Linked DNA regions of Lepisosteus oculatus. The protein of the gene in region 2 purifies or fractionates together with the protein of the main gene of each other region. This does not show direct contact. Links are inferred from orthologs where the notes say so. Each region holds a gene or a part of one and is shown on either strand. Other genes may lie near its edges.

The links. Proteins that work in one complex are often made in the same cells at the same time.
Region 1: the proteins of ago4 (region 2) and trinucleotide repeat-containing gene 6A protein purify together in Homo sapiens (co-immunoprecipitation; 4 studies listed by BioGRID and IntAct, with this or other methods). This does not show direct contact. The link is inferred for Lepisosteus oculatus from reciprocal best matches to the Homo sapiens genes AGO4 and TNRC6A.

The regions. Positions count from the first base shown.
Region 1 is NC_090714.1:11,923,387-11,930,505, reverse strand, and holds the start of trinucleotide repeat-containing gene 6A protein, read right to left. Parts: upstream 3,020-7,119; coding exon 2,921-3,019; intron 1-2,920.
Region 2 is NC_090706.1:162,899-170,557, reverse strand, and holds the start of ago4 (protein argonaute-4), read left to right. Parts: upstream 1-4,651; 5' UTR 4,652-4,795; coding exon 4,796-4,814; intron 4,815-7,659. Other genes in the region: claspin, read right to left, coding at 291-363, 462-518, 767-910, 1,400-1,761, 1,980-2,100, 3,028-3,051.

The sequences.
Region 1 (7,119 bases), on a different chromosome or scaffold from region 2:
TTACAGAGCTGTGCGAATCCTAGACAGACTTCTAGTTAGGTGTGGTGGCTGAAGCCCAAACTCCATCAGGAACTGCCCCTTCATGAACTGCTGTCTGGAGGAAATCTTCGCTTACGTGATTTAAAACCAAATGAGCACAATGGGGCAAACAGCCTCCTCTCGTGTGCAGCCTCTCTGACGTTCATATAATACTGGTTCCAGGATGGCAGGGAAATGCTCCCAGGTAAAACACAGGTTTCTCCACACCAGAGCATACTGCATTTCTTGATGGACAATTTAAAAGTGCAAACCCAGTTGAAGATCAATGCACACCTGCACACACCAGACTTTCCTGGTAAACAATGTGTTAATAATTCAAATCATAAAAAAAGACATTTATATGCACCTGCACAATAGTGCTGACAGATTCATACCTGTATAAGTAACTGCAATTTTAATGACAAAGACAGTATTTTTGTGAAACGCAGCTTAAGTCTTTCACCCTCCAAGCATGGTTGGTACCTGGTATTTCCTTGACAAGACCACTGCCCCACTCTTCTGTTACATCAAAACCCAGAAAACAAAAACATTTCAAACGGACAGGAGGTGGGGAGGATCTGGATTGTGACTGAAGCGCTTGTAAATGTTCTTAAATCAACAGATCCACAAGTCACAAAGTCTCATCTGCCCAGCTGAGAGCAGGCATTTGTCTCGGACCGATTCTCAGCTTCCGTGGCCAGACAGGGTTCATCAGAGCTGCCTCTGTGGTGCCAGGCTGTGAAGAGGGGAGCACCAGATCTCTGCTGCAGAGCCAAAGAGGGCTTCGTGGACAAGACTGCGAAGCCAGAGCCCTGCCTGCTGCAACGCCTTCCCTTTAACTGCGCAATGAGCTTGTGAAGGCTGAACGAGGAGCTAGCTGTTCCCCCCATATTGTTCCTACACGGTGGCTGTATAGCAAGAACCCCCCAAAACAAATGAAAACCCAGAGGCAACATGGAAATCGCAAAACGGAAACAAACAAGCGACCCTATAGAATCACTAACCCCGCTGGCGTTCAGGAGCACGAAGGGCCGCCGCAATGCCCCCCCCCCCCATCATCCTCCTTTTGGCACACTAAGAACAAAACCTATACATTGGCCCCCAATGCCAAGAAGCCCACCGCAGCAGAGAAACACAAGCATCCACACAGGCAGGCAGGCATGAACCCCTCTGCTTTCGCAAGAATTTTCTCCCACTGCTTCTTTTGTTTCAAGATATCACGAGAAGACGGCGAAATGAAAGAAATTTACGCCGGCCACGTCTGTCTAGACAAACAGCATCTCGAAACTTACCGAGACCAACACACACACACACATACACCGACACACGCACACCCTGAGAAAGCTGAGAATCCTCTCATGGCTATCCTTTCACCAATCAACAATCAGCAAGCATGACAAATAATTGTTTGCAGCTGTCATTAGCTGAAAACAAGGCAAATCTGCATATGCTTAATCTTAATTAGACAGACTTGGCACACAGCCTCGGCGACAGTACCAAACAACGTTCTCACAAAAGGGGACGAAGCTCAGACTGAGAAGGAGAAGAAGAAAAAAACGCAAAACAAAAACTCCAGCCGGCTGCAAACGAAGGGCAACAAAGGATAAAGGCAAAAAGCGCAAGGAGAGGGGGGGGGGACAACGGTTTAAAAATAAATAACGAAAGCAATGCCAGAAAAGATGCCAAGGTTTTCTTACAGCAATGTCCTTTCCACCCTCTCTGGCTCTCCCTTTGTGCACCATCCCAGCCCTCAGAGCTCCTCAGATAGCAGCCCGGGCTAGATGCAATGCCGCAACAGTGGAATTCATACAAATCAAAACCACAGGATTTTCTCTCTTTTTTTTTTTGGTACGAAACACATAATGCATCCGATACTAAATAATCAGCTCTCATTTACCTCTCAAATGAGCAGGCACTGATCGACTTCTCTGAGAAATTTCCATTCAGGACGGAGGAGGACCGAAATAATGGATGGCAAAAAAGAAAAGGGGAATGAAAAGAGGACTAAACTGTTCTGTTCGGTTTCCCACCCCCCCCCCCTTTTGTTGCGACCTGGCACTGGTTAAGCTGGTACTACTGCGATATGAATCGGGATTTATGACGTGAGGAAATAACCAACCAAAGCAACAACAAACCCCCCCCACTCTCCCAAAAAAACCTCTTCTGCTGCACAGGGAAAGAAAAACAGGTCACAGGCTCTGCAGTAAATGCTCTGCAACCTGCACGCTGCAAAGCGTGTTCGCTGCTGGCCAGACAGCCATGACGTCACACAGCCGAGCACTGCAGCCCCGCACGGTGCCATCCGCCGCTCGGCTTTCGTGACAAAAAATAACACAACAAAAGTGGAGGATGAGGAGGAGGAGGAGGAGTGAGGGGGGACAATGCCTCCCCCCCCCAACTCCCCTGCAACCCGACAGGTGGAGGTGAAGGCAAATGGCGCTGGCTGGGAGGACGGAAAGCATGCCAACCCCCTCGTCGGTCGCCCGTCGGCCCCGGGCTGTCGCGGGGCACCCTTGACAGGACGAGGAGCACACGGGACAGTTTGCGCGCAGCCCGCCGGACAAAACGCAAACAAAAAACAAAAAAGGGAGAGAGACGGAGCGTGCGAGAGAGGGGGAGAGAGAGATGAGGCTGGAACCCTGCCACCCCTCCGGCGCCCTGAGCCAGCTCTTGGACAGCCTTCAAGGACGAGCACAGACTACGCAGCATCTGTACCTACTGGCAGACTGGCATGCCTGCCTTTATTTTTCCCCTCTCCTCCCCCCACCCCAGCTCCGTTCATCTGCAGCCCTTTCAACAGTACCAGCCGCAGGACGACGAACCCCCCGAAATAAAGGCAGGCGCCCGTCCCGTAGCCCGGCGCGGCGCGGAGCGGAGCGGACGGGCGCGGATCTCTCCTTACCTGGCACGCAGCACAGAGGAATGCCAGAGCAAAGCGCGTGGCAGCAGCCTTTTGCAGACCAGCACACTCAGCACACGCAGGGAGAGAGGAACCAGACATGGCGGAAGGGGGGAGATTGGAGGCGAATTAAAATGTCGGCACACGGATTGGGGGGTAAACGTAGCTTCCGACGAGGAGGACGCCTCGGGTTTCCGAAAGGATGCCGCCCGAGGAAGCGAGCCCCCAGCCTTCACGAAAAAACGCCGCTGGTTTTCACAGGACGGGTCTCCTTTTTTGGGGGTGTTCTTTTATTTTTTTGAGAGCCACGACTGAGAAAAAAAAAATGTTATTCGAATGAGTTTATTAACACTCGAAAGTCCACGTTATTTCACGAGTCAAATCTAACACTCAGCTTAATTTTTGTTAAAACCTCCACCTTGTGCCCTTGGAAAATCTGGAAACTGGGACAGGTGACAGCCAAGAGCAGAACTTTGTTTTCGCAATGTTAATTTACTATGAATGCGCAGGAACAACGCTGCCTTCTTTTAAGTTGAACGCGCACGGCTGTTGATTCACTCAGTTTCCTTTAAGTTTAGATCACTACATTTACCACTCATATAAGGTAGGAATTTTATTTTATTTCTGGCATCACCTAGAAAATATTTTTTAAAGAATTTTGCATAAAGATATTCAAACCATACAAAATTCCAAAAGATATAATCTTTCATGGAACGACTGCAGGCTGCAAGAAAGAATAAATGAATATTATTTGGAGAAAAATGATCTATATAATGTATATCATAAAAACATAATTACTAAATTTTATGAGAAATTAGAATATTATTTAAGTTATAATATTCTGCAAACATATTAATGACATGGATGGTTCATACTATGTTTTCTTTACAATCTCAAAGAGGAAATATATACCATTATACACTACGGGGCTTTGGATAAATAGTATCTTATTCCCCAGATCTTTGGCAAAGATTTGGTCCTTTAATAACATTCAGATCATCATAGGGAGAAGTATCATTTCATTATGAACATTATGCACAGGGCTTCAATCTCTTAGAAAATACTATTACATCTATTGAGTTATGTTGTTGAGTTATTTTTAAGCAAATTAAAATAATCTTACCTCTAACGCTGAACTCACATTTCTCATAAAAAAATTCAACACAACTGGATTATTTTAAACTTTTGTGCTAATAGTGTATATTTTCCATTATATATTATATCATTGTTAATTATGGAAAAAAGGTTATCTTAAATGCTTAGAACTAGTGACGATACTATATATTTAGTACGTGTAACAATAAACTACTACATGTAACTGAAACCTGACCCAGAGTCACCTTCAGTCTCTAAAATGCTCTTCAATATCTTGACCTAAAGCACTTTTCTAGGACATCCTGCACTATTTAATGAAACCATTCAGGAACCTCAAAATCATGTAATTATGTTTTACCTTAATTCAATCTTTTGATTCCTAAATTAATTAAATGAATGCAAAAAACAAAGCTCTAAAGCAATCTAAAGCATAACACCCTTTTATAACATTGTAATGGCATGGATGTCTGACAGAAGGCACAACAGACAAGCAATAGATACTTGGACACAAGTCTTGACTTGGACACTTGGCTTGCCAAACACAGAACTTGTTCTAGTTGTACTGAGGGACAAATCGCCCATCATTCAGTCCTCCAGAGCTCGTATAAATTAGATATCCTGTGTGTTATTCAGCCAGCCACAATCTGAGTTCACTACACACAAAAATATATCCTTACACCTCAGTCAGAAAAAGGCCATTTCTTTCAGCTAAGGTTTATTGTTGATACCAATGTAGTATGCATCGTGTGAAAGATACAATATTTCTACAATTTTCACCTTACAATCATGCCCACACACAATATCGGTTTGCAAGAATAAGCACTGGTCGCCCCTGGACATGGAGTTTTATTCCATCCAAGCTTTTAATTCAATTATTGGGCAGAACTGGTCAAAATTGCTCTCTGTTCCAGGGTACTTATCCGGTTGACAATTTAGTGATACCCAGTAAAATCTTGAGAGTACGGGTTCCCACAAAGAAAGGGCTGGCCACCCACATAAAAACGTCTGCACACGTTTTGTTCCAATGGAGCTCTCAGTTACACAATCAAACCCTTTCACGAGCTTTACCAAGAATAATAAGATTAAGTTGAACTGTTTGTTCCCAGCTCTTAAACATGATCTATTTTTTAAGTGAAATAAAATCCAAACGTGGACTGCAAACATTCAAATGGATCTTAGATCATAGATCCTAGATCGTCTTAGATCAATGAAGGCTTCAGCAATCTAATGGGGGTGGGATCCACCAGTATACAGAAACAGACTTTTGTCCCTTATGTACAAGTCCATAATCATCAAGAATCCATTCCTGGCACCTCATCATTCCTCAGAAACATCGGGTGAATAAACAAAACCTTTTACTTTTCCCTGAACAGATGCAACTATAGACAAGACAGAGGACAAAGTGGAAATCCCAGTGTTCCTAGATCTCAAGTGTGCGGCAGAAAAAGAGTTACACCCGCCAGGATCTAGAAGAAAGAGCAAGGCCATGTCTGTCCCTGTCTGACGAGTTCCAGGTATCCCCCCCTCCCAGTTATAACAATCATATTTTGCTCATTACAAACAGCTGTGTTCCCACTTACAGCAGTAGAAGTGTGGGCATTCATCTGGAGTACATTTAAATACCAATTAAATCAAATAGCTCTTTTATATCAATGGCTTAAAAAAGAGCTGGCACCAACTATATCATCTTGTGATTAATTCAAGGGAATGGGCTTTTCAGTGGGGGTCGGCTTCACAGACTGTCTGGAGGAAAACACTCGCTGAACAATAGCTGGGCTACGAAGCCCTGAGTGAATAATGAACACAACTTGACATCAGTAATGGGAATTTCTAAACAAACGACACGACTGTGTAATTAAAACAGTGCCGGCATAAATTATATCAGCCCAAATGTGGCCTGGCGCTCTTTATAAAGTGCTTGAAACAACAGCCGAAAAATAATACAGGAAAAACACGCCCGACAGAGTGCGATCCACGCGTTTTGTTTGTTTTCATCGCCTTGTTCCGTGCTGACTGTCTTTTTAATCGGTGACCTCAAGATATTTCAAGGGAAGTTCTGCCACAGAGTAAATACTCCCGTCGATGTAATTTAATATGGTCTTCGACTGATCTGGTATGTGAAAGCATGCCACGAGAGCACTGAGGAAGCAGTGTGTCAGCTCTCTTTACAGCAGAGCTCCGGGCTGCGGGGTAATTCACCTCACAGAAAAGTTTGTGTTTAGCTCCACATTTCCTTCGCTCTTGACTTCTTCACTTCCTTTAAAAAATGAAGAACAAATCCAGCTTCTTAAAGATGAGACTTTTTCAACTTAATACCAAAAGAAAACGCTCAGTTCTGTTTAGATTTTAAAAAAATCGACTTTAAAAATCTACAATTACAGCTAACCAGACACTAGAGAATGCCAAACCTGCCTCTAATTGTTGTGAATAGACACACTGGCAATAATTAATCAAATTACTGGTAGAAAATACATGTGCACATTCTCACATGAGTTTTAACAGGGTTCTTTTTGAAGTATTTAAAGGGTATGCATAGAGCTGGTTCTTTTTTACATTCTTTTTGTTATAAGCCTTGAAAATATAATAAAGTTGCCTGTGCTTGTTTTTCATTATTGTGACATTTTTATACGTGCAGATCCCTGGGGTGGCCTTAGGTAAGGGAAGGGTCCGTCACAAATAAATAGAAATTTGTACAAATTGCACGTTCGTGTGCAGAGAAGACTGAAAAGAAAACAAATGTTCCCAGTAGCTGGGGTTTGCTAATACATTTGGTCAATTTGGGCAGTGGTAAGGGCTTTAGAATTGTACCCTTGAGCAAGGTAGTTCATTTGTAAGTACTACACTACCATTCCTTGCTATACAATCTTAAATAAATTTGGCTAAAAAATTAATATAACTATCTGCAGTGAGCGACGTTCATCCATTTTTTAAAAGGTCCATATGTAATTACAGCAGGGGGTGCTGCAAACAAACCGAGACCAGATAAAATCTCTTTGTTTTTTCCCCAGAGGTCACCCTTTTCTCTGGAAACTCCCTCACTCCAGACCAGCCTGTCCCAGAGAAAACATAGCGAACTAGGAGCCTTCAAGGGCCCTGTTCCGGCCTTA
Region 2 (7,659 bases):
TGTTTTGGCTGTGGACACTTCTTCAGGTGTCACAGATGTCCACACCTGAAGGCTCCATAGCCAAAACATTGCATCTCTTCTTTTCCTTTCAGCCTGGCATTGACCTTTTCCTGTTTACATTAAAATACCTAGGACTGATTAAACAAAGTTATTATACTTTTGTGTCTGTGCTTAATTTGGTTTCTTGATTTAAAATATCTGGCACATCTCACACCCCCAGGAGGGACGGCTGCACCCCAGGTGAAGAAGCACTGCTAGACAGTCAGCAACAGGGAGAGACAGGCTCTTACCTCGTACGAGTCTCTGGCTTTCGCTGTGCAGCTGTTTCATGGCCTCTTTGCTGGCCCGGGCTGCTTTCCTCTCCTGACAGAGAGGAGAGGACAGAAACGCACAGGAATCAGACACCGAGCAACAGAAGCAGCGTTCTACAACAAGAACGCAAAGTTCAAAGGTCACCTCACCTTCCGCTCTGGTTGACACACCCCCTCAGCCTCCTCCTTTTCCCTCCCGGCTCTCTCCTGGGGACAGGAAAAACACGTCTGTACACAAACCTCAATCTGCCGAGACAAAGTGCTCGAGACCCGCTTGGACAATAAAATGCTGGACCCTGCTTTACAGAAGAGCATTAGACACTTTTGCCAGCACTAAAGGACTCTGTGACTAAAGTCAAACGTGCAGAAGTGAAAAGAGGTTTAACTCCTCATTTCCCCCAACACAGCAGTGCAGACAAGAGTCCTGCAGTCGCCATGTCATGACCTCTGCTCACCTTATGCTTCTTCACCTTGTTTTTCATCGCTGCTCTGATGGCATCCAGGGACTCCTCCTCTTCCTCCCCCACACCTGTGTCAAACAGGTCACTGTCTCTGAGGAGGCAGCCACTGTCATTAAAGGAGGGGGGAGCAGTGGGCTCCTAGATTAGGGAGAGAGTGAAGTGGTTGCTGTCCTAATGTTGGCCTTGTTTAGCGAATCAGCCACACACCCCACCCAAACCTCACTGATGCCCCATCCAGTTAAATCCACATTCAAACTGTGCAGTCACAGAACCGATATAAGCTTACACATCACATGACACTCATTCAGAAGTATTTTAAAATAAGCACAAAAAGTTAACATAAAAACCTGTCCAACAATCAGTGACTAGACAATTTAAGAACATGCAGTGTATTTAAAATGTTTCTGTGGACCAGGATAAATTAAGACTGCAGAACAGCCAAAGACATTCAATATTTTTGTTAACTATGAAGTCTGCTGAGCAGCTCTCCCCTGACACAGCACTGACAGCCAACCGGGCAAGCAGGACAAAGCTGGCTGGAGCACTACCTGTCTGACGCAGGCACACCTGTGCTCGCCGCCCTTCCAGGCCCAGGGCTGCATCTTCCCAGCTGCGCCCTGTACGTACCTCTTTCCTCCTGTTCCTCTTCGCTCTCGGCGCAGCCTCTGCCCTCCTCTTGTCCTTCTCCCGGCAATGCTCGGACCTCTCCTCCCGCTTCACCGTCTCCCCAGCAGGGGACTCTCCCTGTGCCTTGCCGGCCTGCCTGTCCGTCTCCGCCTCGCTGTCCTCACTGTCCCAGGCGGCCTGCGCCACCCTCCTCGTCCGCTGTCCTGTCCTCCCGCCTCCTCCCTCCTGCCTCTCCTCCTCGCTGGACTCCGACAGGGCAAGAGCCTCGGCCGGCCCCCCTCCCTCCTCGGCCTCGCTGTCGCTGTCGCTCAGGGCCGTCCTGCCGCGCGGCTTCCTCTTCACAGCCACCTCGCCGTCCGAGTCTGGAACACAAGACGTCTTTGACACGGACCTTCCGAGGCGACGCACACGAGACACTCGCTTCCGAACGGTCCGGACCATCGTCAAACTGCTCAGTTATGAGACACAGGGTAACTGTACAAATCCCCCCTGCGGAGCAGGCAGAGCCTCAGGAGGTTCAGAGTGACCCCACTGCAGAGCCCTCAGAGCTCTGTGGCGTTATACCCCCGGCCCCGCTGACCTTGGTCCTCGCTGCTCTCAGCCATCGCTGGGGCGCCCCCCGTGGGCACAGGGGGGCTCAGGTCGCAGCTGCCCTTTCCGCTGTCGGAGTCGCTCTCCTCCACGGGAAGCACGTCCGGCGCCTGGAGAGAAAACGGGTGGCCGTTACCTACGGGCACGACGGCACAGCGCAGCGTCACCACAGACGGGTCCCGAGGACGTGGGGTAGCATCTGTATCGAGCATCGCTATAGTTAGACATGATTTACTGCAGATTGACTTCACTGCAATACATCAACAGGATGGCTTACAGTTACAACACCGCACAGCTGGAGAAACCTGAACACTGACCGGCTGGCGGTGACACAGCCGAGTTCGGCTACACAAGAAAGGTTATAATCGAGCACAGCCATTCCTCCCATCTGGCCGATGGGCTTACTGCCCCTGTGATCCCATGGAAACCGCCCTGGGGGTCTGCTCTGAGCTCTGCGAGTGGAGGACAGTGCCTCCAGCCGGCAGTGCGACACTCCAGAGAAGGAGCAGCTCATATCTGCAGCAACAGCTCGGTGGGCTAACAACACCCAGCGACTGGGCCCATGATCAGACCCGAGGTCCCGACTGCTCGGAAGAAACTCGCGTCGGGCCCTGTACAGTCTGACCGCCCTGGCAGACCCCGGACTGAAACGGCAGCGCACCAGCCGAGACACAGGCCGAGTGGCGAAGCAGGAGCCCCCGCTATGAACCCCGCTCGCACGTTGAACCACCGGACCGCGAGAGCGGAGCAGCGCGCCCCCCAGCGGCCGGGCCGGGAGCCAGCCGAGGCGGCAGAGAGCCGCTGCCACGAAAAGCTCAGCAACCAAAACAAACCGCAGACTTTCCTCCCGAGGCCCGGAGAACACACCCCGGGTCAGACGGCTCGGTTCCGCTGGCGGTGCTGCTGCGGCCCGTCCAGCCCGCCCGGACCCAGCCCTCTCGGAGGCCGGACAGCCGCACAGCAGCACACAGCCCCCCCAGAGCACGAACCGCGGGTCTTTACGAACACTTCGCCACCGTGACTAAAACAGCACAAACCTGCTGGGACACGGCCGCACTCATGGCGACGGGCTCTTTTCCGCTTACACTCGACAACACAGACTCATGAAAACGCACGCAAGGCCACGTCCACTTTCTCGCCCTCCTTGACAAACTATTTAAACAGTTAAAATAAACCAGATAAACAGATGAGATCTAATCCGCAACAGTAACAACTCGTAGCTGCCCGCCTGCTTCTCCCTCCCGCGCGCTCTCTCAGAAAGGACTTTCAACCGCTCGCGCGCCCAGGGCGCCATCCCGCCCCTCGCCCCCTCCTCTCCCTCCTGACTGGGCTGTCGGCCGTCAATCCCGCCTCGCACCCGCCCACCTCGGCAGACTTATTCCACCTCGGGGGCTGCCGACGCTCCCAGCCACGCCTCACGCAAGTGACGGACAGCAGCAGGGACCAATAGCGAGTCGCAGTGCACTCGGGGGTCTGATTGGAAAGCTTGGTTTTGTGTAGTTTTTCTTGGAATCACAAATACAGTAATGCTAAAGAACTGTGAATTAAATAAAAATATTCTCTTTCTAAAATAAAGCAAAAATAAGCAATCACCTTATTTTAAATAAAAATATAGATGTGAATTTTATCCCCCCCCTCACTTTGTATTGGGTAAGCTTAACGGTAGCTCACAATATTTATTGCAGTTTTGTTAAAACAATACTCAGCCCCTTTGATTCCGGATACTCTGAGACAAAACAGGATTTCAACGTTGCCCTGAAACTGAACCTCATTAAAATGTAAACAGCGCTGAAACTTTTAACTATTTGTACTAAATGACCACCGACTGCGTGACAATACGGTGGTTTTAAAGTAATTTATAAGAATAAAAAGCATGTCATATTTTTTCAATTTAATTTAAAAATCTTTTCTGGCAGACGCCCTTAATTTGTACATTACAATGAGGATTAAATAAATAAGAAGTGCAAATTATACTTTATAAACCTGCTGGTTTTACCTGAGCTGCTGTGGGACAGGGCTGCAGCTACAGGACGGCTGTTGCAGAGCAGAGCAAACAGCCACGTTAACAGGAGTAAAACAATACAGATCACTGACGAATGTGACGATTTCACAGACACCCACACATTTTGGAACCTGAATGAAAAGTATAAGCTGTAGCATGATACACTCCGTTTTCTCCCTGTGCTCCCCAGATGCATGTCGATATAAACGCGTTTTCTCCTCTGTGACTCCCCGGACCCCAGCACGCTGAGCAGCCCAGGCTCTGACAGAGCTCCGCACAAGAGATACTGTGAGCGCGGGACAAGGCTTTTCAACGGCGTTGGTAAAAACGGAGCTGAAATGCTGCCAGTTTACGGAGATGTCAGACCTTTCAATTAACTGCGCTGCCCCCTCTAGCGGCCGGTATGATAACTTCCTGCTTCCTCCCTGGTAGAATTATTTATAAAAACCGCGGGTAAACCGCTGACAGGCTAACCAAAGCCTCATCCAACGGGAGACGAATTCTCCATGTACTATGCTGCCCAAATAGATGTCGATAACCAAACCCCCGGGAGTCCACAGCCGCCTGTGCTGCCCGTCTCCGTGCGCTCAGTTTAAATCCCCGGACGGCGCAGGCGCACAGCAGGGGCAGCGCTCGGCGCGCAGGCGCACTGCCGCACTCCCCGGATCCGCTTTAAACCGAGCGGCGACAGCGGACCTCAGTTTCTCAGAGTGGACCCTCTCAGCTTCGCGATACCGCCCCCAATCTCAGTGTCGGTACGGAGCCGCCAGGCCGGGACAGAGACGGAGAGAGAGCCCTCGGCCATGGAAGCGCTCGGACCCGGTGAGAAGAGGCGCTGGCAGGCCCGGCAGGGCAGGAGCGGGGGGCCCGGGTCGCTCGCTCACTGGGGGCCGGGGATTGCGAGGCCTCCGCGGGCGATCGGGAAGACGGAAGGAAGAGCGAGGTCGGGAGGTTAACCACACGGCACGGGGTGTTGCCTGCAGGGCTCTGTCCCTCACGGAGGGCTGGTGTCCGGTGTGGCCGTGTGCCGCAGCCCCGGGTCGCGCTTGGAGCGAAACGTCAGGAGCGCCTTTCCGCGTCTTCCGCGTCTGTTGTTGTTGTCGTGCTCAGCCTGCGGGCTGCGGCGGGTCCGAGAGCGAAGGCGGCGGAGCTTCGTGTCGGTTTGCGAGAGCGGATTTCAGCTTCTCTGTCCGTCTGGTTTCGTCCACCACGGTGGAGCCCGGAGCCTCGGTCCCTGTGCTTGCAGCTGTCCCGGAGCTCTGCGTGATCCAGCTGTCGGGTGTCTGTCGCTCGCTGCCGGCCGGAGCGGTGGCACAGTCCGGTCTCTCTGCTCGCTGACCAGCACGTTTACGGCGTCTTTGCGGTGTCTGTATCGGGATGTGCAGCCTCACCGAAGCCCGAGTGGGGTTTAAACTACGGGAAAGTGCGGTTTATGTGCCTCTGCGTGGAATAATCCTCTTATTGATGTATGTAGAAATCCCCGATAATGTTAGGAAGAATTTTAAAAGTAGTTTACCTAATATATGTATCAATAAGTACGAAAGTGATTTAATAGCTTAAGTGTTTTAAATTGTTGTTTAACTCAAAGCTATTGTACCTTTTAAAATAAGTTATCCGGGGTAAAAAATGCTTCCCACATGGGAATTGTGGTACATAAAAGGGCAGTGGCTGGGATTCTGGTGTCCTGCAAATGTGTACAGTCGGTGTTTTTTCAGGATTTGCTTGTAATTCATAAGAAGGGCACTATCTGTGGACTAGTAACCCCTTGTCTTCTGGAGTAAAGATTCTTTCCTGGGCCAGGCAATGGAAGTATTATTATTATTCCTGTATATAGCAGACCCCTTCATTCAGTGTGAATGGCAAACTGGAAAGTTTACTTGTTAATACGAGGAACAGTCGTGCAGCTGCGTGTCCAGTCTGCTCCTCTCCTGACGGGCGAAGGCAGCCGTAGGGGTGAAACTGCACAGGCTCTGGGGATGCAGGGTGGTAACTTATGCACCTACTGGGTGCTTACAGCTTGTCTGCAGTGATTAAATGCAGTTGGTACGTTGCATTACTATTTTGAGAATTAAGCCCTTGTAGTTCAGTCCCCATGTCTGTATAGCATGCATCATCACAATGGGTCTTGGAGAGCTGGGGTGCTGCATCGCCCTGTAGACACAGAACAGCAGCAGCCCCCTTACGCAGCAGAGCAGGGGCAGAGAGAAACTGGGAACCAGTGGGGAGGTTAGGTTGTCTGAGCCCAGTTTGGGATTAACACCCTTACAGACAGCCTCGGGACCCATGTAGATTTTGGCTTAACTCTTGCTGAAGGGAGGGCACCTCATGCAAAGGTGATGAGGGGCTGAGGGGAAAGGGAGGCTGGCGCCTGGGATCTGGTAGAGAAGAGATGCATGGGGTCTGCTGGAAGAAGAGCATCGAGTCCAGGAGGAGGTGAAAGGCATATAAATAGTGAACATGAGAAACTCTGCGTCCTTCGCGTTGAGTGTGAAAGACCATGACAGGAGGTGAGGACCTGGGGAATGAGTGTAGAGAGGAGAGCGGAGACCCAGGACAGAATCCCAGGATCCACAGGGAGCGCACCGGTGGACAGAGCGAGTCCAGCCAGGGCTGTAGATCCCCACGGATCCGCAGGGAGCTCTCTGACCCGCCTGGACATGCCTTGATTTACAGGTTCATAGGACAGGGCTAGGCTGCTCTGTGTAGCCTTATTCTATGACCTGTGCGGTGTTGCTGCTGAGCTCTTGATATCCTCAGACATCCTGCAGCTCTTTCACTCTCGGTGTTGTCTTTTCCTTGTGGCAGGCAGGGCCTCTGTCCTGTCGCAAATTCGTCATTAATCCCATCTGCCTTGCAGGTGTTCTTAAACCCCTCTTTCCAGTCTGATTATTGACTGATCACTGCCAAGACATTGACTCCTCAGTGCAAAACACCTGTTCCCACCAGTACCTTCACACAGGTACATTCACGTGCTTTGATGGATATGTTGTTAAAAATCCATAAATGATGTTTTTCACTCATGAGCTGTGATAACATTAGGTTGGTGCTGTATTTATGAATAGAATGCTTTTGAAAGTTAAGGATGAAGTGTTCTAACCCTTCATGAACACAGTCTGAAGTGTCTTGCTTCTGTGCTGCTTTGCTGGCTGTTCTGTTCTTGATTGATTCTTCCACCTCTTGATTTGCACATCAAACTGGCCAAGTATTGAGTTGGATAATAGGGGATGGGAATACGTTTGGCCCAGTTTGAGTCCTGCTTCCACAGAATTATCATTTGAATGTTATCACGTCTAGAGTTTTCTGTACTGTAACCTTCTGTAGATTATACACCAGCATTGTAAATGACAAAGCGCTGCTCAACTACCACCCGAGAGCAGGGAGATGCTGCTGTAAGAGAGGTGAAAGTGTGGAAGAGCCAGGAGGCAGAGGAGCTGCCTCTCTGCCCGTCCGTTCAGGGAAACCAGACCCTGGATCATTCAGGGCAGCTGGGGCCCAGAGTATCAGGCCAGGTGGCCTTTGACCTGTAGATTGTTACAGTAAGACCAGGACCGCAGGTTAGCAATGTGGCTTCTTCCGGTGTTCGTCTGCCTTAGTTAAGGGTAAAGAACTGATTTTTTTCTACTTTGGGCAAACTGCCCATTGGACCCCTTTTCGAACGAAGACGCTG